3 linked regions of the Sus scrofa genome follow. The protein of the gene in region 1 purifies or fractionates together with the protein of each later gene. This does not show direct contact. Links are inferred from orthologs where the notes say so. Each region holds a gene or a part of one and is shown in the gene's direction. Other genes may lie near its edges. The genes, in order: SF3B3, SNRPB2 and SNRPD1.

What was found.
Region 2: the proteins of SF3B3 (region 1) and SNRPB2 purify together in Homo sapiens (affinity purification with mass spectrometry; 4 studies listed by BioGRID and IntAct, with this or other methods). This does not show direct contact. The link is inferred for Sus scrofa from reciprocal best matches to the Homo sapiens genes SF3B3 and SNRPB2.
Region 3: the proteins of SF3B3 (region 1) and SNRPD1 fractionate together in Homo sapiens (co-fractionation; 4 studies listed by BioGRID and IntAct, with this or other methods). This does not show direct contact. The link is inferred for Sus scrofa from reciprocal best matches to the Homo sapiens genes SF3B3 and SNRPD1.

Annotation. Positions count from the first base shown.
Region 1 is NC_010448.4:13,521,756-13,528,307, forward strand, and holds the start of SF3B3 (splicing factor 3B subunit 3), read left to right. Parts: upstream 1-2,763; 5' UTR 2,764-3,072; intron 3,073-3,112; exon of another isoform or gene 3,113-3,134; intron 3,135-3,978; exon of another isoform or gene 3,979-4,012; intron 4,013-6,202; 5' UTR 6,203-6,271; coding exon 6,272-6,341; intron 6,342-6,552. UniProt on the Homo sapiens protein: Component of the 17S U2 SnRNP complex of the spliceosome, a large ribonucleoprotein complex that removes introns from transcribed pre-mRNAs.
Region 2 is NC_010459.5:25,361,962-25,368,513, forward strand, and holds the start of SNRPB2 (uncharacterized protein LOC768116), read left to right. Parts: upstream 1-2,869; coding exon 2,870-2,933; intron 2,934-3,315; coding exon 3,316-3,488; intron 3,489-6,552. UniProt on the Homo sapiens protein: Involved in pre-mRNA splicing as component of the spliceosome. Associated with sn-RNP U2, where it contributes to the binding of stem loop IV of U2 snRNA.
Region 3 is NC_010448.4:106,794,955-106,801,506, forward strand, and holds the start of SNRPD1 (small nuclear ribonucleoprotein Sm D1), read left to right. Parts: upstream 1-3,246; 5' UTR 3,247-3,390; coding exon 3,391-3,404; exon of another isoform or gene 3,405-3,425; intron 3,426-3,636; exon of another isoform or gene 3,637-3,711; intron 3,712-6,552. UniProt on the Homo sapiens protein: Plays a role in pre-mRNA splicing as a core component of the spliceosomal U1, U2, U4 and U5 small nuclear ribonucleoproteins (snRNPs), the building blocks of the spliceosome.

The DNA of each region.
Region 1 (6,552 bases):
AAATTTCTATAACTACAAAGGACATCCCTAAATATGTACTGCCAAAGAACTAGAGTACAGACTCTCCCAGTTGCTAAGTAAGTATAAAATTCACTAACCAACAATCTAAGAAGATGATGAAATCAAAGAGCAATTTTTGATCCTTAGGCTAGGGATCAGATGTGAGCCACAGCTGCTACCTATGCCACAGCTGCAGCAATGCTAGGTTCTTCACCCACTTTGCTGGGCTGGGATCGATCCTGCAGCCCAGTGCTTGAGAGACAATGCAGATCCCGTTGCGCCGCAACAGGAACTCCCCAAATGATGTTAATACTTGCTGGTCCAAAACCACTTTGAGAACAATTTGACTACACTCTTAAGTATTCACTTTACTTGGAGGTAAATCTCCTTTACAATTCAAACTCAACTTGCATGGTAAAACAGAAAGGAAAAATAATAACATCCAACGGCTCCTGATGGAATTTATTTACTTAAAAATTTTATTTATTTATTTTTTGGCCCCATGGCACATGGAAGTTCCTAGGCCAGGGATTGAGTTGTGCCACAGCAGTGACAATACCAGACCTTAACTCGCTGTGCCATAGAGAAGTCCCTAATAGAATTTAAATAGCTTGTCCTGATATGTAGACTCACCCCATCCGGTGGAGAGTGACCATTTTACTTTCAATGGTGTTTTGCTGTTCCAAGAGAGCATCCAGCTCTCTCTCCACCACTTTCTGAAAGACAGAGAAACATTCTTTTGTTAGCATGGTCAAAAGGAACCCTAAGCATTATCTAATCCAACCACTTAGCTAAAGGGTAAATCCCACTTCAAATGTCTTCTTTCCTTTCACTAAACTCCTATAGAACTTTAACAAACAATACTTCATTTTTGCACTTATCAAATTAAATAATGTTACCTTATGTGTATCTTATTCCATCTAGGAGATGAACACCACGGAGGGAGAAAAGAAACCTTTATTCAATTTCATTGGCAAAATGCCTCACACAGGAAGGCATTTAAAATATAAAGGATAGGGAGTTCCTGTCATGGTTCAGCAGAAACAAATCTGACTAGTAACCATGGGGACCCAGGTTTGATCCCTGGCTTCATTCACTGGGTTAAGGATCTGGTGTTGCTGTGAGCTGTGGCGTAGGCTGGTGGCTACAGCTCTGATTTGACCCCTAGCCTGGGAATTTCCATATGCTGCGGCTGTAGCCCTAAAAAAGGGAAAAACAAACAAAAACCAAAACTAATATTGTTCTGTCTGTAAGATCAACTTAATTTTTTTCCTAACATACTGACCGATTCAATGAATGCAAGCTTAGGAATGTTAAGAGTATTGAATTTTATAAAGTACATCTTGCTGAAAAGTCTATCGGCATTGGTATAAATTAATACTTGAAAACTCTCAAAGAGAGTTCCCGCCGTGGCTCAGTGGAAATGAATCTGACTAGGATCCATGAGGATGCAGGTTCCATCCCTGGCCTCCCTCAGTGGGTTAAGGATCTGGTGTTGTCACTGCAGTGGTTTGGGTTGCTGCTGTGAGGGGATTTGACCCTTGGCCTGGGAACTTCTACATAGAGTGGGTGTAGCAAAAAAAAAAAAAAAAGTACTGACGGGAGATCCTGTTGTGGCTCAGCAGTTAACAAACCTGACTAGCATCCATGAGGATGCGGGTTTGATCCCCGAACTCAAACAGTGGGTTAAGGATCCAGCAGTGCCAGTGACCTGTGGTGTAGGTCACAGACACCGCTTGGATCTAGCATTGCTGTGGTGTGGCATAGGCAGCAGCTACAGCTCCGATTCCACCCCTAGCCTGGGAACTTCCATATGCCGCGGGTTCAGCCCGAAAAAGTAAAAAAAAAAAAAAAAAAAGTACTGACAGCATTAAGTTTCATGGAAAAGTGAGGAAGGCTGCTGGACATAATATAGCCAGTGCCCCTGGTTTGACGCTATGCAGGGGTAGCTACAAGAACTGAAATAACTTATTCACGATTAGACAGTTGTTTCTGAGTTTTAACATCTCAAGATTCTACAAAGCCCTGCATTGAACTGAAACGCTAAAATTACACCCCCAAATCATTTCCCACAGTAGAAAGTCTTAAAACGCTTTGTTTATTTACAATGATTTCTTGCTGAAATGAGGTAAGGTGAAAGCGTTTCATCACTTTAAAATTTATAAGCCCTTACAACAAAGCCTTTATTCTTATTATGAAAAGCAAGCGTGTGAGGAGATGCCCTTAAGTCTAACTTTAGGACCGCGGAGAAATCTAATGATTAAGGGCCAGGGAAATCAACAGGGGGCGGGGCAGATCGCCCAGACAACACGAAAATATGCTTGGGGGCATCAGACGGAGATGTCGGATCGCCCCAATTACATTCAACCACACTCCTGCTTCTCGAGTAGATGCTTTTTTTGTTTCCTCGTAAAGAAAAGAACTTCCCACAGCCCTGATTTCCCAAGAATGACGGCTCCTAGGCCCACTGCCCCTGTATCCTCCTGGAAAGAGAAGCTCAGCCCCCCACCTCCTCGCCGCAGAGCCGTTCGTACACAGCCTCCAGCTCCTGAAGCTCAGTCAGAGAGCGAATGAGCTCTGTGGAGATTTCCGAGCAGCGGCCTCCTCCCACGCCTTCAGGCGGCGGAGGCACCCCTGACAGCTTCTGAGGAGAATCGAGGTCCGCCATCTTGATTCCCATTCCGCGCTTCCGGCCCTGGGAGGCCCCCTCCTCGTAGGCGCGCCACGTCCTTGGGGCTGCCCACGGGAGTGCCTAGTGAATTTGTATATATGTTTTTAAAAGCCTACTTAAAAAGGTCTATTAATTCCCTATTTTCCTGGGAAAAGTGACAGTCATAAAAATATGTTTAAGTAATTTTTCGTGCGGCGTGGAAGCAAGACTGAAGCATTAAAGAGATTTATATGTACATTCTTCAGGCGCCGGTTGAGGACCTTTTTTCCGTCGCGCGCCAATCGGAAGGTCCCTGTTTTAGGAGCTAATGGCGGATGCCGGCGGCTTGGGCTTAGCGGCGGATTAGGCCTTGAGGGGACTGAGGATCTGTTGGATATCTGCGCCATCCTCCTGGCTTCAGGGTAAAGAAGCAGCTTTCTGACCTCCCTAGGCCTGAAGAGGTGGAGAGCGGCCATGTAGAAGGGTGGGCCGAGCCTTTTGTAAGGGTTTCTGAGAGAGTTTAGGCCCGAGGACTATGGGCAAGCGTCTAGGAGGTGATGGAGGGGAACGCAGGAGGGCAGCTTCACGAACTTGTGTTTCGCGACCGTTCGCACTGTGGGAACTAAGCCTAGCTCAAAATAAGCTTTCTAGAGACTGCGTAGCTTTTAGGCTTTGGGGGAGATGTAAGAAGGGGCGGGAGAGACGTTTTCCACTGGAGAAAGTAAACGGCACACCGACGGGGAGGTGAAAGATCAAGGGTGTTAAAAGTGTCAAGGACGGAAACAGTCTTTGAAATCTAGACCCTTTGTATTTGTGCTTTGGTGCTTGGGCAACTCATTTCCTTCTTTGATCCTCAGTTTATCGCTTGCAAAAATGGGGATAATTATATCTATCTTGAAGACTTTGCAGAGTTTAAATGCGGTGATGTTCTTCTCGTACATGGAGAAGGGGTGGAGGAGCAATCACAGGCTCATTTCCTAATATTCATAGACAGCAGGTAGAATTGGGGGAAATCAAAATTTACCAAGTTTTGGTCGTTACTAGTTTCCGGTATGTAGTGCTTGGTTGATCTTCCTCTGAAATGCAATTTCCCTTGTTACCCAAGATAAAAGAATAGTTGGGGAACCTGGGTCCAGCTAGGTTTTGGGAAAATAAATTCCAAAGTTTGTACTAGATGCTGTTAGTTGTAAAGGAACTAGAAAGTAGGCTGAGTTTTTCAGTAAGTTATAAAGGGCGAAAAGTAGCCTAGGAGAAGGTTTTCCAAGCTTCCGAAGTGGTCTTTGGTTTCCTATGTTTGTTTTCTGAAAGATTCTGTATCTTTCATACAGTCAACCCTACAATATAGATCACATTCACAACAAGGTAGGGGTTTCGTTGTAAATTTTGTTCTTGATAACTGCAAGTTTGAAATTATGTTTGAAATTTTATAACTGGAGTGAGATGCAAGAGAATAAATTATGTCTGAGACTCCATTCAACTTTTCTCATTTAACAAAACCAAATTTGCATGCTAATTACAGATACAATTGTAAGCTTTGAACTTCTCGAGATTCTTTGCTTTTGTCTCTGAATAATTGAGGGAAAATAGTTCAGTTTATTTTCCAGTGGTAAATGTATAGGTACTTTTATGGTGAAGATACCTCAGTTTGCAGTCTTGAGTCCTAAGAAGAATCCTTTTCTTTGTATATTCTTTTGTGGAGGCTTCATTCTGGGGTCGCATTTCGGTTTTTAGTTTTTGATGATACATAAGTTTAAATTCTAAATTTTAGTCACTCCTTAAATATAGAGCTGTATAGGAGATGCAAATGAAAACTACACTTAAGTTACCAGTTTTTTGTTTGTTTGTTTTGCTTTTTAGGGCTGCACCCAAGCAGCATATGGAGGTTCCCAGGCTAGGGGATCTAATTGGAGCCATTTCTGTGGCCTGCACCACAGCTCCACAGCAACTCTGGATCCTTAACCCACTGAGCAAGGCCAGGGATCAGAACCCGAAACCTCATGGTTCCTAGTTGGATTCATTAACCACTGAGCCACGATGGAAACTCCCAAGTTACCAGTTTTTATCTGTTAAATCAGCAGAGGTCTGGTTGTGGAGAATTATAGAGACCCATATATTGCTGGAGATATATTGGTAGAGCTTCTTTGGAAGGTAATTTGACACTGTCTCTGAATTTCAAATATATGAGGTCCTCAATCCTGAAATTGGATTTCTAGCAGTTAATCTTAGAGATACTGTTAATGCACTTATAAATGGTCTGTATATGAGTGATTTTCTTTGTAGCAGTGTTTATAATTGCAAGAGATCGGGAAGAACCTAAATGTTCCTCAGGAGAGTGTTGGCTAAATAAATCCTAATAGATGCATTCAGTGGAATACTCCACAGCCTTAATATAAAAATGAGAAAACATTTTGCTTACTGCTATGTCCAAGATAGGTAAAGTAATTAAAAACAGTTGCACCATAATGTGAGTGTATGATTTATGGTACCCAACCTTTAGTTAAATAGAAGGGATAAAATACAGCGTTAATGTATGTTTTTTTTTTGTACATACAGAAAATATCTGTAAGGACACGGTATAACTTGGTGAAATTGATTCGTCCAGGGAGGAAAAACTGGATGGCTAGGGCATGGGTGGAGTGAGCTTTTTGCTGTGCTTTTGAATTCTGAACCACGTGAAAGTAGAGCCTATTCAAATACAAGTAAATATAGATCTATGTGGTTTTGAGACAGTAAAATCAAATGGTGTTGGATTAATGGTACAGATTCCAGCTCCCAATGTTTTTACTACTACTACTTCTTCTTTTTTTTTTTTTTTTTTTTTTTTTGTCTTTTTAGAGCAGCACCCGTGGCATATGGAGGTTACCAGGCTAGGGGTCGAATTGGAGCTACAGCTGCTGGCCAACGCCAGATCTGAGCCGCCTCTTCGACCTATACCACAGCTCACAGCAGCGCCGGATCCTTAAACCCACTGAGCGAGGCGAGGGATCGAACCTGAAACCTCATGGTTCCTAGTCAGATTCGTGAACCACTGAGCCACGACGGGCACTCCTGTTTTTACTACTTATGTAATCTCAAGGAGACAATTTAATTTCTTTTTTTTTTTTAATTAAAGAATAGTTGATTTACGGTGTACTTTTTCAGCTCAATTTCATCTGTAAAATTAGTATAATGAATACTTTATATGTGTCTTGTGAGATTAGAAACAGTATGATTGATGGAACATTGTAAATCAACTATAATAAAAATTTTTTTAAAAAAAGAAACAGTATGAAGCATAGTGCCTGACATGTAGAAGGCACTCTGTTTTTTGTTTTTTTTTTTTTTTGACCACACCTGCGTCTTGTGGAAGTTCCCAGACCAGGGATCAAACACTTGCCACAGCAGTGACCCAAGCTGCTGCAGTGAAAATGAAGTAGAAGGTACTCTTAATTATAAGTAATGTTGTATGTCTTACTTTATTAGTTACGCTGTCTTCACCTAGAAGTTCCCATACGGAAATGTCTGTTAAAATAATTTCAAAGCTGGTATTTTTCTGCTTTTATGTGCTTTTAGCTTGCTTGGACTTGGTTATAATCAAGGCCTGGATTGTGGAGCTATAGGTGGCTCAGTATTACTGCCACCATGTTCCTGTACAACTTGACCTTGCAGCGAGCCACTGGCATCAGCTTTGCCATTCATGGAAACTTCTCTGGTAAGTTCTGCTACTATCTGAGTTTAAAATTTTTTTTTTTTTTTTTGTCTTTTGCTATTTCTTTGGGCCGCTCCCGCGGCATATGGAGGTTCCCAGGCTAGGGGTCGAATTGGAGCTGTAGCCACCGGCCTATGCCAGAGCCACAGCAACGCGGGATCCAAGCCGCGCCTGCGACCTACACCACAGCTCACGGCAACGCCGGATCGTTAAC
Region 2 (6,552 bases), on another chromosome or scaffold:
TTGGAATTCTCCTTCAGCTTGCCTTAATCACCAACAACTTGATTACTAGAACAATCTACTCATTTTGTGGGGAGAGAAGGTGGGAAGGGTGGTAGGGAAGTGATGCTTTTTTCAATGAGTTTAGGAAGATGATTGTATCAGTGTTTAGCTATTACTGGAGGTAACTGCTTTATCAGGTGAGACAGCTGGACAGAGACATCAATTCCCTCCAACGTGGGAACACAGATTAGCTGCTTCTGGGATTTAAGCTCTTCAGTAGAATGTTGGAGAAGAGTTCCCTCAGAGTCTCAAGAATTGGAAGAGACTTGGGTGGGTGGAGGGTACCGGCTGCCTGAAGGTGGGGGCAGCCACCTGGAGGTGGAGGCAGCCCTCTGGAGAAGGGAAATCAGGGCACTTTCCCCTGCAGTGGACAATAGGTGCTGCACTTGTAAAACTATTCAAAGGGTCCCTGACTTATGACGGTTCGACTTAAGATTGTTTGACTTTACAAAGGTGCAAAAGTGATAAGCATTCAATGAAAACCAGACTTTAAATTTTGAATTTTGATCTTTTTCTAGGCTTTTGATATGCGGTAGACACAGTGTCCTGATGCTGGACAGCAAGCCAAAGCTCCCAGCCACTATGGGACCACAAGGGTGAGCCACACTACCACTGTGTTTTGCACTTTCAGTACAATATTCACTGAGTTACACGAGATGATTTTGTGCAACTGTAGGTTAATGTGAGGGTTCTGAGCACTTCAGGTAGGCTGGGCTAATAAGTTGTGATGTATGGCAAGTTAAGCGTATTAAGTGCATTTGCGTCTTACAAAGTTTTCAATTTACAGATGGGCTTGTCAGGACGTAACTATATGTAAAGATCTGTAAAGCATTTGGAAAGACAGAAGGCACCTGTTGTATGGGATAGACCAACGCAAACTCATGGGTAAATGAATCACTGCCTTTCGCTGTTCCCTTTCTCAGCGGTCCCACGATTCCAGTTTAATCCCACAGCATTCCTCACAAGCCTCTTTCGCTTCTCCCACATCCCCTCTCACCTCTTCTTCCAGCCAGAGAGACGTGCGTGTGCGCGGAAGGATTCTCAACTGCCGCCTTGGAGACTGTGGCTTATCGATCCACTCCGGGCTCGACTTCTTGATTTGTCGGTACTCGATTGAGGCGCTTGGCAGTGTTACTTCCGGCGCCCGGCCCCACTTCCGGCTTCCAGTTTCCTGGTTGCACTGGACGCGGCGACCGTCTGGGGTGAGTTGAGGCTCTTTCTTCCTCGCTTTCTTCGTTTTCGGGCTTGCGGATTCCTCTTGGCACCACGCTCCCCTGCTGGAGCAGGGGATGGACGAAACGCGGTGCTGGGGCTGAATGGTTGGCTGTCGGGAGTTCGGGGAGGGTCGCCGAGGGGTCGAGGGGGGATGGAAACTGATGCGCGGGTCCGACGAGGTCCCCGGACTTCGGAACCTTGTCTCTTAGCGGGATGGGTCGGGGCCGGAGATCGCGTGGCGGCTTCTTGGGGCTTCAGGCCTGGGCCGTGGGCGAATGTGACTCGGTCTGGAAAGGCGAGAGGCTCGCGCATATGAAGTTATGGATAACTGGTGTCCCTTGGTTGCTGTGAGGGCCTTACGGCTCGCTTTGGATTTTCAGGTGCCTGCCGGAGGCTTACTTTTGGATCAGGGAGGCGACCCCGGTGCCCCGGCGCTAGTCCTACTTTCCGTAAAACATCGCGTGAGATAATACGAGAGCCTCTCCTCTAGTCTTCCGGCTTTCTTCGCGGCCCCAGACTTCCAGTGTCAGTTTAGGGGTTCGCAAGTCTCTGAGAACCGTTACCTTTCACCTGTTAACGTACGAGTACAGTCCCCATCTGTATGCTCTTGTCAGTCGACCTAGGCTGTTCACATACCGTGGGTGTAAATATTCATGAAATGAAGGAATATCTGGGGCAATAAGAAAATAAAGGTCAAAATTTGCAACTGAAACTGTAAATAATAGTGTGGTGGGTGTGAAAGAAAAGTACAAGAGACAGAAAGCAAGGGTTGAATTCTCAGATCTCTGGTTTAATCAGCTGTGTGACTACATGTATACAAAGTAGGTATTAGCTTGTGATAGAAATTAATAACGTGTTGCTAGAACTTTATCTCATTTAGATAAATAAACTCTACTGGGTAGATTCTGTTCCCATCTCATTTTTTCAGAGTGGACCTGGGAGATTAAGTAATTTGTCCTCAGTCAAGCAGGTAGTAGGAAGCATAGACATACGTGAATTCAGATCTGGCTGGCTCTAGATTCTGAGCTCTCAACCATCTTGCAACCGCTCTGGTATTTCAGGTCGGTTACAGGTGACTTTGGAGGCAAGGCAAGACTGTTGGTGATGGTGTATATAAATTAAGTAGTAAATATGAAAGTGCCCGTGAAATAGTTCTTAGCAAATTTCATTATTGTTCCGTCTTGATTTTTACTGGACGTACATTTGCTAGTTCTTTTTTCATTTTTCTTCAAATCTACTTTTCCTTTTTAACAAAGTTTTAAAATTATTTCACTAATGAAAAACAGGTGGAAAAACAGTATCACTTGTAAGTGAAAGATAAGTATAAAAATAAATGTGTGGAATAAAAGAATATTATTAAAATCTGACTAGGTAATAGTGCCCCACCAAGTTTTCAGCCTGAGAACTGTTCTTGTTTTATTTCAAGAGAAAGGCTAGTAAGTTCTGGAGAAGTTTTAGACTGTTGCCAAACTGATATTTTCTGACATTTGGAATTGAAAAGATTGCAAAGTTAACCTTGTGTCCTTAATTCCACACCACCACGCAATGAATTCTCCCTGTTTATAACAGAATATTTACCATCTCTTTAGGCTGTTTGAACAGTTTAACTCAAAACATGGATATCAGACCAAATCATACAATTTATATCAACAATATGAACGACAAAATTAAAAAAGAAGGTAAGTGCTTTTTAAAAAGTAACTAAAGTGTGTTTACTTACACCATCTTAAAAATTAAACTGCTTCAAAAGTTCTCATCTAGTCCTCTTTCTCAGTGCCTGAAATAATGGTTTATCCCTTAATGCATGGGGATTTTAAGGCTTTTTAAAGATAAAAAGTAGGGGGCTGAAAATGTGTGGAATTTGTTTTCACTCATAGATCAAATGATTTTAAAAACTTGTAAAATTAGACAGCCAATGTGAATAGTATGATATTTTTATTAAAAAATGTAACTTTGTATAAATAAATAAGGGAATGGCAGGGGTGCGTGCAGTGTCATTTTATGAAGAATCTTGTCATCATTTCATTGACAAATAACTGGTTTCTCTCTAATTTTGTGCAGAATTGAAGAGATCCCTGTATGCCCTGTTTTCTCAGTTTGGCCATGTGGTAGATATTGTGGCTTTAAAGACCATGAAGATGAGGGGGCAAGCCTTTGTTATATTTAAGGAACTGGGTTCATCCACAAATGCCTTGAGACAGTTACAAGGATTTCCATTTTATGGCAAACCGATGGTAAATCAATCTTACTATTTTGGCTTTGTTCACTATTAATGAAATGGTAGATTTGTAAATACACCCCTGAAAATATGGCTTGTTTTTTGCTTTTAACTACATGTTAGAGTGGGTTAGGGCTTATTTTATTTATGTATTTATTTTTATAGGAACACAGTAGTAGAAGAGCTTATAAGTCACCACTTAATTTATGATAGTTCAAATAGCCAAAAGCAAAATACATTGAGATGTAGAATATTTTAAAAGCAGTGTTAGTATAGGCAATACTGTCCTCTCAAAAGATCTAGAAATTAATAATTACTCAGAAGATTAAAAAGAAACCTCTGTTCGTAAACTCGTAAAACACAAACAAAATTGTAGGTCAAAGAGAAATCCAGTCTGAAGTTTCAGAAAATACCATAATTAAATACTGTATATCAGAAGCTGTGCAATCTAGATAAAGCAGTGATCTAAAGACACTTCATAGACTTAAAGTCATAGGTTTTATTAATGGGTGACAATGAATGGAAATGAAGTAGTTATATATGGAAAGTTTTAAACTCAGGAGTGATATAATGAGATTTCACATTTAGCTGCTGGGTGAAGATTGGATGGTGGTAGGGATTGAAGGGAACTAGAGAACTCAGGAGGCGTTGGTATAAGTCAAAGTTGGTAGAGGGTTGGATTAGGTTGGAACAGTGCATGTAGCAAAGGGTTTTACCTTTGTGAATGCGTACAGAGGACCCTGGGTATGGATTCCCAAGTGCTTTTCTACTGGAATTGGAATGTGATGGGTAGGGATGTTGGGGAAAGAGCCAAGTCCTGCAGTTTCAAGGACCCATGTTCTCATTCTGGTTCTGCTGTTAACTGGTTCTGTGCACACGTTCACCACCTGTAAAATGTAAGCAGATTGGATATTCTTTGCTCTTATTCATAGGTGAACAAAAATTCTATAAAGGACCAGTAATAAATATTTTAGGCTTTGTGGGCCATGTACAGATTCTGCTGCCTATTCTTTTGTGAGTGTGTGTTGTTGGTTTTTTTTAAAACAATCATTTAAAATTGTAAAAAATGAAAAAGAAATAAAAGTTTTCTGCCATTCCTGTCGTGGCACAGCAGAAACGAATCCGACTAGTATCCATGAGGATGCGGATTCGATCCCTGGCCTCACTCAGTGGGTCAGGGATCTGGCATTGCTATGAGCTGTAGTATGGGTCACAGATGCAGCTCGAATCCCAAGTTGCTGTGGCTGTAGCTCTGATTTGACCCCTAGCCTGGTACCTTCCATATGCTGCGGGAGTGGCCTTTAAAAAAAAAAGTTCTTAACTCATAGACCATACAAAAACAGGTTATAGGCTGGATTTGGCCCATAACTTGTAGTTTAGACCACTGGTCTGATCCCTTTATTTTTACAAATGAAGAATCAGGCACAGAAAGCTTATGTTAATAATACCAGTAGTAGTATGAAGATTTAAGGGCTAATCTAACACTCAGTACTGTGACTTTTTTTTTCTCCCCTAAACAAGGATTCAGCATGCTCTCTGTAAAGGACCGGATAGTAAATATTTTAGGCTTTATGAGCCAGATGATCTCTTTTGCAGCCACTTAACTTTGCCTTTATGGCCATAGATGGTGGTAGGTGAATGAGTGTGGCCATGTTCCAAGAAGACCTCATGTGCAAAACAGGCAGCGCTGGCTGTGGTCAGTTAGTCTGAGGACCTCTATCCCACACTGTGTAATTCAGGCCTGGGAACTTTCTGTTTTACTGGAGCAAGTTTTCTTCTCACCCTCTATCCAGTTCTCCTTTCCCCATCATTTCCCACCTGACTGGGCACCGTATTTGTAGAAAGTCCCATTCCAGAAAACTGGGAGGTAGGACCCACGTTCCCTGATTTTCGGTTAATTGGCATTTCCTGAAAGCAGTTTATCTTTCTCAGTAGTATGAAAAAATAGCATACTTGAGATCTCACTTGGTGGTAGCATAGGACTGGGTTTTAGTTAAAATCTAAAACTACATTAGAATGAAGGAACGGTTTTTTCCTCTTGAGGTTTTTAGGTCTGTTTTGCTAAGTTGGGATGACAAGGTTGCATGACTGACTCAGATCCAGGAAAGCTGAAAATTGTTCACTGTGTTTGGCCCTGGCTTCACCTTGCCAACTAAATTTTTAAAATCAATGGAAAAAGCCCATTAGACTGATCTCATATTGAAGGTATTTTAGGAGGTCCATTCTCTGCCTTTAGGAAAGTAGTAGTTGCTGCCAAGTCGCCAGCATCCTGGAAAAGGAAAAGAATGTTCCTTGAGCTGTCTTTACTTAGGTGGTTTCAGTTGCTCTTTAACTCAACATACCAGATTAGAAATGAACAAAAATTTATATAACTTGGAACTCAGAACAAAATTATGCTCTGTGATTCAAGGATATTTGGATATTTAATTTCCAAAGTAGCTCAGTAAGACAGAACCATCTTCCTAAGGGCTTCTGTAATGAAACCTTTGGAATAAATGTAAATCTTGCGCCTTCTCTAAGTTGTGAATGGACTTTTATCCTATACCAGGATTTAGTCTAGACCAGGGCTTTTCAGCATCTGATACTTGGGGTATTTGAACTGAATAGTTGCTGGGGCTGCCTTGTTGGTTGTAAGGTGTCTAGAGCACCCCTGGCCTCTGCCCTCTTAGCATGACAACCCACTGTGCCCCCTTTCAGCACTGCCAGCTGTCTCCTGGGGGCGGATTCTCCCCTGATTGAGAACTGCTGCTCCAGACCAGCCTGCTGAAAGCGAGGATTCAGGGCAGAGGTATTCTCAGGCCACAGGGACAAATACAAGACCACCCAAGATCTGTTTAGGTCAACAAGGAGGTTAAAGACCCAGGGTAGCTGGGAAGGAATCCTTGGGACCAAGTCAGAGTTAGTCCAGACCTGTCCCTTTCCATTAGATGACGACATGCAGGATTATCAAGAGTTGATCACAGCTAAGTCCGTGGTCTAGTGGCTAGAGCTTTCATAGGAAGCCTTTGGGACTGAGCGGTCCTGGGAGGCCTGCTGCCCTCTCATTCTCCTGTACATTCATCTCTAGCTAATGTAAAAGA
Region 3 (6,552 bases), about 93 Mb from region 1:
GGGTTGCACGAGCGGCATATGGAGGTTCCCAGGCCAGGGGTTGAATCCGAACTACAGCTGCCAGCCTACACCCCAGCTGCAGCATCTAAGCTGCATCTGCGACCTACACCACAGCTCACGGCAACGCCAGATCCTTAACCCACTGAGTGAGGCCAGGGACTGAACCTGCCACCTCATGGTTCCTACTCAGATTAGTTTCTGCTGTGCCACGACAGAAACTCCGTTTTTGTTTTTTTTTTTAACTTTCCTGAAAACAAAAAACAAAACAAAACAAAAATAAGAGACTGCAGCAAGGAAAAAAATTCCCACACTAAAGGAGTTCTGGCTTTCATTTCATAAACATGTATGAAGCACCAACTATATGTCAGGCATTAGAGTAAGTTCCAGGTATAGAGAATTAGGCAAAACAGAGACTGTCCCTCAAAGAATTTCTATTCTAAAGAGGAAAATATCTATTCTATAAACAGCATATACGTTTGTAATTCTGCTGCTAAGAATTTTGTGAAAAAACAGCAAACATATAACATTTCATAAAACAACAGGAAGCGGAGGCTAGAAGCCAGAGGGTTTCTAATGTGAGATACCTAAAGAAGTCAGGTTGGAGGTAGGGAAGGGGGGAGACTAGCTACATGGAGGTAAGAGCATGTAAGAAAGTTTTAAGGTAGAAAGGAGGAGTTCCCATCGTGGCACAGTGGTTAAAGAATCCGACTAGGAACCATAAGGTTGCGGGTTCGGTCCCTGCCCTTGCTCAGTGGGTTAACGATCCGGCGTTGCCGTGAGCTGTGGTGTAGGTCGCAGACGTGGCTCGGATCCTGCGTTGCTGTGGCTTTGGCGTAGGTTGGCAGCTACAGCTCCAATTAGACCCCTAGCCTGGGAACCTCCATATGTCGTGGAAGCAGCCCAAGAAACGGCAAAAAGACAAAAACAAAACAAAACAAAACAAAAAAGTTCCCAATAGCTCTATCTCTCCATTCACCTCCAAAAGCAGAGTTCTCTACAGTGACTGATTGGATCAGGCTACATCCCATGCCCACTGTGGACAAGTAATGGAATGTGGTGATTGACATAAGAGTAGAGTCAGCTCCCATATGACCACATGGATCTCTAGGAGATTCTTAGAAACTGTTGGAAAGACAGGGGAATAGGTATTAAGAAAGCAGCACACATATGTACATTAATTGCTTACTACCCAAATGGAGATTCATGGTCTAGGGATTCAGTTCATCTTCATCAACTGAAGTTTTGTTAGAAATGCAGAATTTCAGATCCCATACCAATGGAATCATAATTTTCATTCTAAAGTTTCCTCCAGGTGAGTCTTATGCACATTAATTTTTTTTTTTTTTTTTTTTTTTTGTCTTTTAGCCATTTCTTGAGCCGCTTCCGAGGCACATGGAGGTTTCCAGGCTAGGGGTCGAATCAGAGCTGTAGCTGCCAGCCTACTCCAGAGCCACAGCAACGCAGGATCCGAGCCACGTCTGCGACCTACACCACAGCTCAGGGCAACGCCGGATCGTTAACCCACTGAGCAAGGGCAGGGATCGAACCCGAAACCTCATGGTTCCTAGTCGGATTCGTTAACCACTGCACCACGACGGGAACTCCATTTTTTTTTATGCACATTAATGTTTGATGAGCATTGCCTCACAACATTCAAGAATTCTGATGACCAGGGATGAAGTCCTGAGATACATATTAAAGCTGTGGTTTGGGAGATCACCTAGGCTAAAGGAGAAAGTATCCATGAAGAGACTACGCTGAGGGTAAGCCAAGAAGCACTCCAGCATGTAATGGCTCAGGAGACAATGAGGCAGCCTAAGGAGACCTAGAAAGAGTCATTAGTGAGATTGAATTAAAACCAGGCATACTTGGCATCCTGGAAGCCAAGAAAGGAGCATGTTTCAAAGGAGAGTGTCTGTTTTGAATGCTGCTGAGATGCTGAGTAAGAGGAAGACAGAAGTTTGTATTGGGTTTTTGATCACCATTAGAAAAGCAATCTCAGTGTATTTGAAGATCGAATTACAAGGCAATAAAAACAAGTTATAGACAGCTCATTTAAGGAGGTTTTCTGTGGAAGAAATCTGGTGGGAGCTAGAGCTGCATGAGAGGAGAATTTTTTTTTTTTAAGACCTCACCTGCAGCAAATGGAAGCTTGAATCAGAGCTGCAGCTGAGGCCTACACTACAGCTACGGCAACACTGGATCTGAGCTGCATCTGTGAACTACGCTGCAGCTTGTGGCAACACTGGAGCCGTAACCCACTGAATGAGGCCAGGGATAGATCCCACATCCTCATGAATACTAGTCAGGTTCTTACCCTGCCGAGTTCCCACAACTGGCACTACAAAATTTTTTCTTTCTTCCTTTCCTTTTTTTCTTTTTCCATTTTTGGCCATCTCCGAGGCATATGGAGTTCCCAGACCAGGAATCAGATCCAACCTACAGTTGGAACCCACACTACAGCCAGCTGTAGCAATGCAGGGCTGGACATCAAACCCGCGTCCTGGAGCTGCAGAGATGCTGCCCAATCCTGTTGCGCCACAGTGGGAACTCGTTGCTTGTTTGTTTTTTAGATAAATTTATATGTTGATAGAAAAAATCAGTAGAGAAGGAGGAATTGATGATTCAAATTAGAAGGGGATCATTGAAGGAGTGAAATTCTTGAGGAAATGAGATGGGATCCAGACTACAACCAAGAGGAATTTGCTTTCCAAAGGAGCAATAATACTTCTATCGTTGTCACAGAAAGGGAAGCAGAAGGATGGCTTCTGTTTTCTAAAAGTAGGATACGTTAGAGAGTGATTTGGGAGAAGAACTGTAAAAGGTTTGAGATAAAGAGAAGAAAGAAGGTATGAAATACTTTGTGAGCTTATTAGAGAAGCATAACGATCTCTGGGCAGTGCAAGGGACACTTTTGAGGTTTGTGACCAGAATTTAAAGTGAAAATAATCAGTTAAATTGTATGATTTTCTTCAGCACATTAAGTAACGCTGAGATACCTGGTGGTGGAGCATAATCCTTTGGGATTCTCCAATTATTTCCTTTCATTCACGAGAAAATTTGGTGCTACATAATACCCGGAGCCTTGTTATGCTCGCTAATAGGATTTAATTTCCTGAAATACTCTCTCTTACAGGAAGTTTCCTCCTGGATCGGCCCTAAACGCCCTTAACAGTTGCAAGGCACACCTCCTGCCGCCAGAGGCCGCACTGGCGCTACTCGCGGCCGGAAGGGAGAGTGGCCCAAGCGCAGCCTCGGCGTTTCCGCCGTGAGTGCGCAGGGATCCGCGCGCTCTTTACGTCGATCCCCGGGAGTAAGCGTTTCCGGTCATTCATTCTCCCTGCGGGTCGGCCTCTGCGGTGGGGTTTTGTGTACTATCGGACCGAGAGGATGAAGCTCGTGAGGTGAGGAGGTGACCGAGCAGGGTGGGTACTATGAGGGGATGTCCTGGACCGGGAGCGGGGGGGTTGAGCTGCCCGAGATGCAGGAGGCGCGAAAGCCGCGTGCGCGCGCGGCCTGCTAACGGCCTTCGGCGCCCGCCGCTCCCGCCCCATCTTGGTCGCGTCGCCGCGGGCACTCGACCAGGCTTCAGACTGGGTCGCCCAGGGATCTGCGGGTCTTCCGAGAGGTTGAAGGCCGGGCGGTGTTTTCCCATCAGGTGTCTTAGAGGCCTTAAAAGTACAGAGCCAGGCTTACAAGCTCTTACTTTCGGTGAGTTACAGACTTCCGTTTCTGTTAGAACGTTTCTGGCTCGTCTCAGCACTCAGGAACCGGCAAATTTAACTAGGTCCACGCTTCCTGAGAACGTGGGAGACATAAAAATTGTACATCCTGCACAAGTAGTTTAAATTAATGCATATTTTTTAATGAAACTACCGTCACACTTAAAAGAGTACTTAGAAGCTGCAGGGGTTTATCTGGAGATAATGAAATCCAATTCCGAAGTATTTTAAATCAGGGATCAGGGATGGACTTCTGATTTCCTGAGGTTTTTTTTTTTTTTAATAGTGTTTTTTTTCCCTCTTGTTGTTATTCCCTAGCCTTAAGATTATTCAACTTACATTTCCCTTTAAAATAGCCCTTTGATTTAGGAAAAAACCTCTCAATATGGGGTAGAATCACTCTTCCGTACTTTTTGGCTGATTACACAGATAATCGAGATTTATTCTGTTTATTTCTGTATTTAAATTTGGTCGATTAGTTGAGCCTGCTGAAGACTCGTTTACTGGTTGAGCTAATTCATCACAAAAACTACCTGCAAATAGATTGAGTTCTGATGTTTCTCCTTGAGGCTGAGAGCCTGGAACATAGAAGCAGAGGCTTTTACAACTCAGCCGGCAGTTATAAACTAGCTTAACTAGTTTATTGTCTGTTGAGTCAAGAATTGTCAATGTCGACCAAATAGTTAAGCACATGGAGTTCTTGGACCAGGGAACACATCCTAGCTGCATTTGCAACCTACTCGGCAACTGCAGCAATGCTGGACTGTGCCGGTGGGGATTGAACTGGGGATCGAACCTGCATCCCAGTGCTCCAGAGACGCCAAGAATCCCAGTTGTGCTACAGCAGTAGCCCACCCCCCCCTTAAAGAGTCCTATGTTGTAGTAGCGTTCGTTTTGCAGAGAAGATAGACAAGAAGATAGTTTGAGATAACATAAAGAATCCTCATTGTCATATTCAGGCTGGTGTTTGTAGAGAAGGCATTTAAGATTGACTTTTTGTCTATTTTTTTCCCTTCCAGTTTTATTGAGATGTAACTGGCTTTCAGCATTGTGTAACTTTAAGGTATATAACATAATGATTTTTTTTGGCCGTGCCAAAGGCATGTGGAAGTTCCCAGGCCAGGTATCGAACCTGTGCCATAGCAGCAACCCAAGGCTGCAATGACAACACTGGATTCTTTCTTTATTGACCAGCTGCACCACGAGGGAACTCCCACAGCATAATGATTTGATTTACGTACATCATAAAGAGTGTAGTGAACATCCATCATCTCATGTAGATATAAAATTAAAGAAATAGACAAAAAAATTTTTTTTCTTCTGATGAGAACTCATGATTTACTCTCAACAACTTTAATATATAACATACAGCAGTATTGATTACATTTATCATATTGCATATTACATTTCTAGTTCTTACTTATAACTGAAAGACTTTGTCCATTTTATTTGAGGTATAACTTTGAAGGTAAACATCTCAGAACTTAAAGTTTATTTTTTTTTCTTTTTTTTAGGGTCACATCCACGGCATATGGAAGTTCCCAGGTTAGGGGTCTAATCAGAGCAACAGATGCCAGCCTACGCCACAGCCACAGCAACGCCAGATCCAGCCATGTCTGCAGTCCACACCACAGCTCATGGCAACGCCAGATCCTTAACACACTGATCGAGGCCAGGGATTGAACCTACAACCTCATGGTTCCTAGTCGGATTCATTGTAGCTGTATCCCGACAGGAACTCCTAAAGTTTATTTTCTTAATGTCTGAATACTTGCCAGTCAGAGTCTTAGTATAGATAATACTCTTTGGAGTCTTTTGTCCCACTTAACGATAGTCCATGTTGTGACAGAATTTTCCTATAAAATTTTTTTTTTTTTTTTTTTTTTTTTTTGGTCTTTTCTGGGGCCGCACCTTCGGCATATGGAGGTTCCCAAGTCTAATCATAGATGTAGCCACCGGCCTACGACAGAGCCACAGCAACTTGGGATCCAAGCCGCATCTGTGATCTACACCACAGCTTATGGCAACACCAGATCCTTAATCCACTGAGTGAGGCCAGAGATTGAACCCGAAACCTCATGGTTCCTAGTCGTGTTCGTTAACCACTGCACCACGACAGGAACTCCTCCTATAAATATTAATGCTGTACTGAATCCTATTCTGTGTCTTAGACTATAGAAGCAAAATTCCTAATAATTGGAGAATGTATTTTGCACTGGGAAAATGGGTTTTGTATAACTAGTTTGCTAGGGATCCAGTCTGAGCTATAGCCAATGGCCTGTTCCACAGCCACAGCAACATAGGATCTGAGCTGCGTCTGTGACCTATACCACAGCTCATGGCAACGCCAGATCCTTAACCTACAGCAAGGCCAGCGATGCTAGTTGGGTTCACTAACCGCTAAGCCGTGAGGGGAACTCCTTGACTTAGCTCTCTCAGTAATCCTGATAATGTGATAAATTGCCAGGTTTTGGTGTTTTTAACCTGTTTAATAAAGTATCTCACTATCCTGTTATCTTGATTTTTTAATTTTTGTTTTTTATTTATATTAAAAAAATTTTTTTTTGGTCTTTTTAGGACTGCATCCATGACATACGGAAGTTCCCAGGCTATGGGACGTATCTGAATTCCAGCCACAGCGACTGGAATCCAAGCTTTGTCTGTGATCTATACGGCAACGCTGGATCCTTAACCCACTGAATGAGGCCAGGGATTGAACCTGTAGTAGATACTAGTTGGATTTGTTACCACTGGGCCATGACAAGAACTCCTGATTTTTGAATTTTTAAATAATGTGGCTTTGGATACTGAAGGATACCATTTTGTCCTA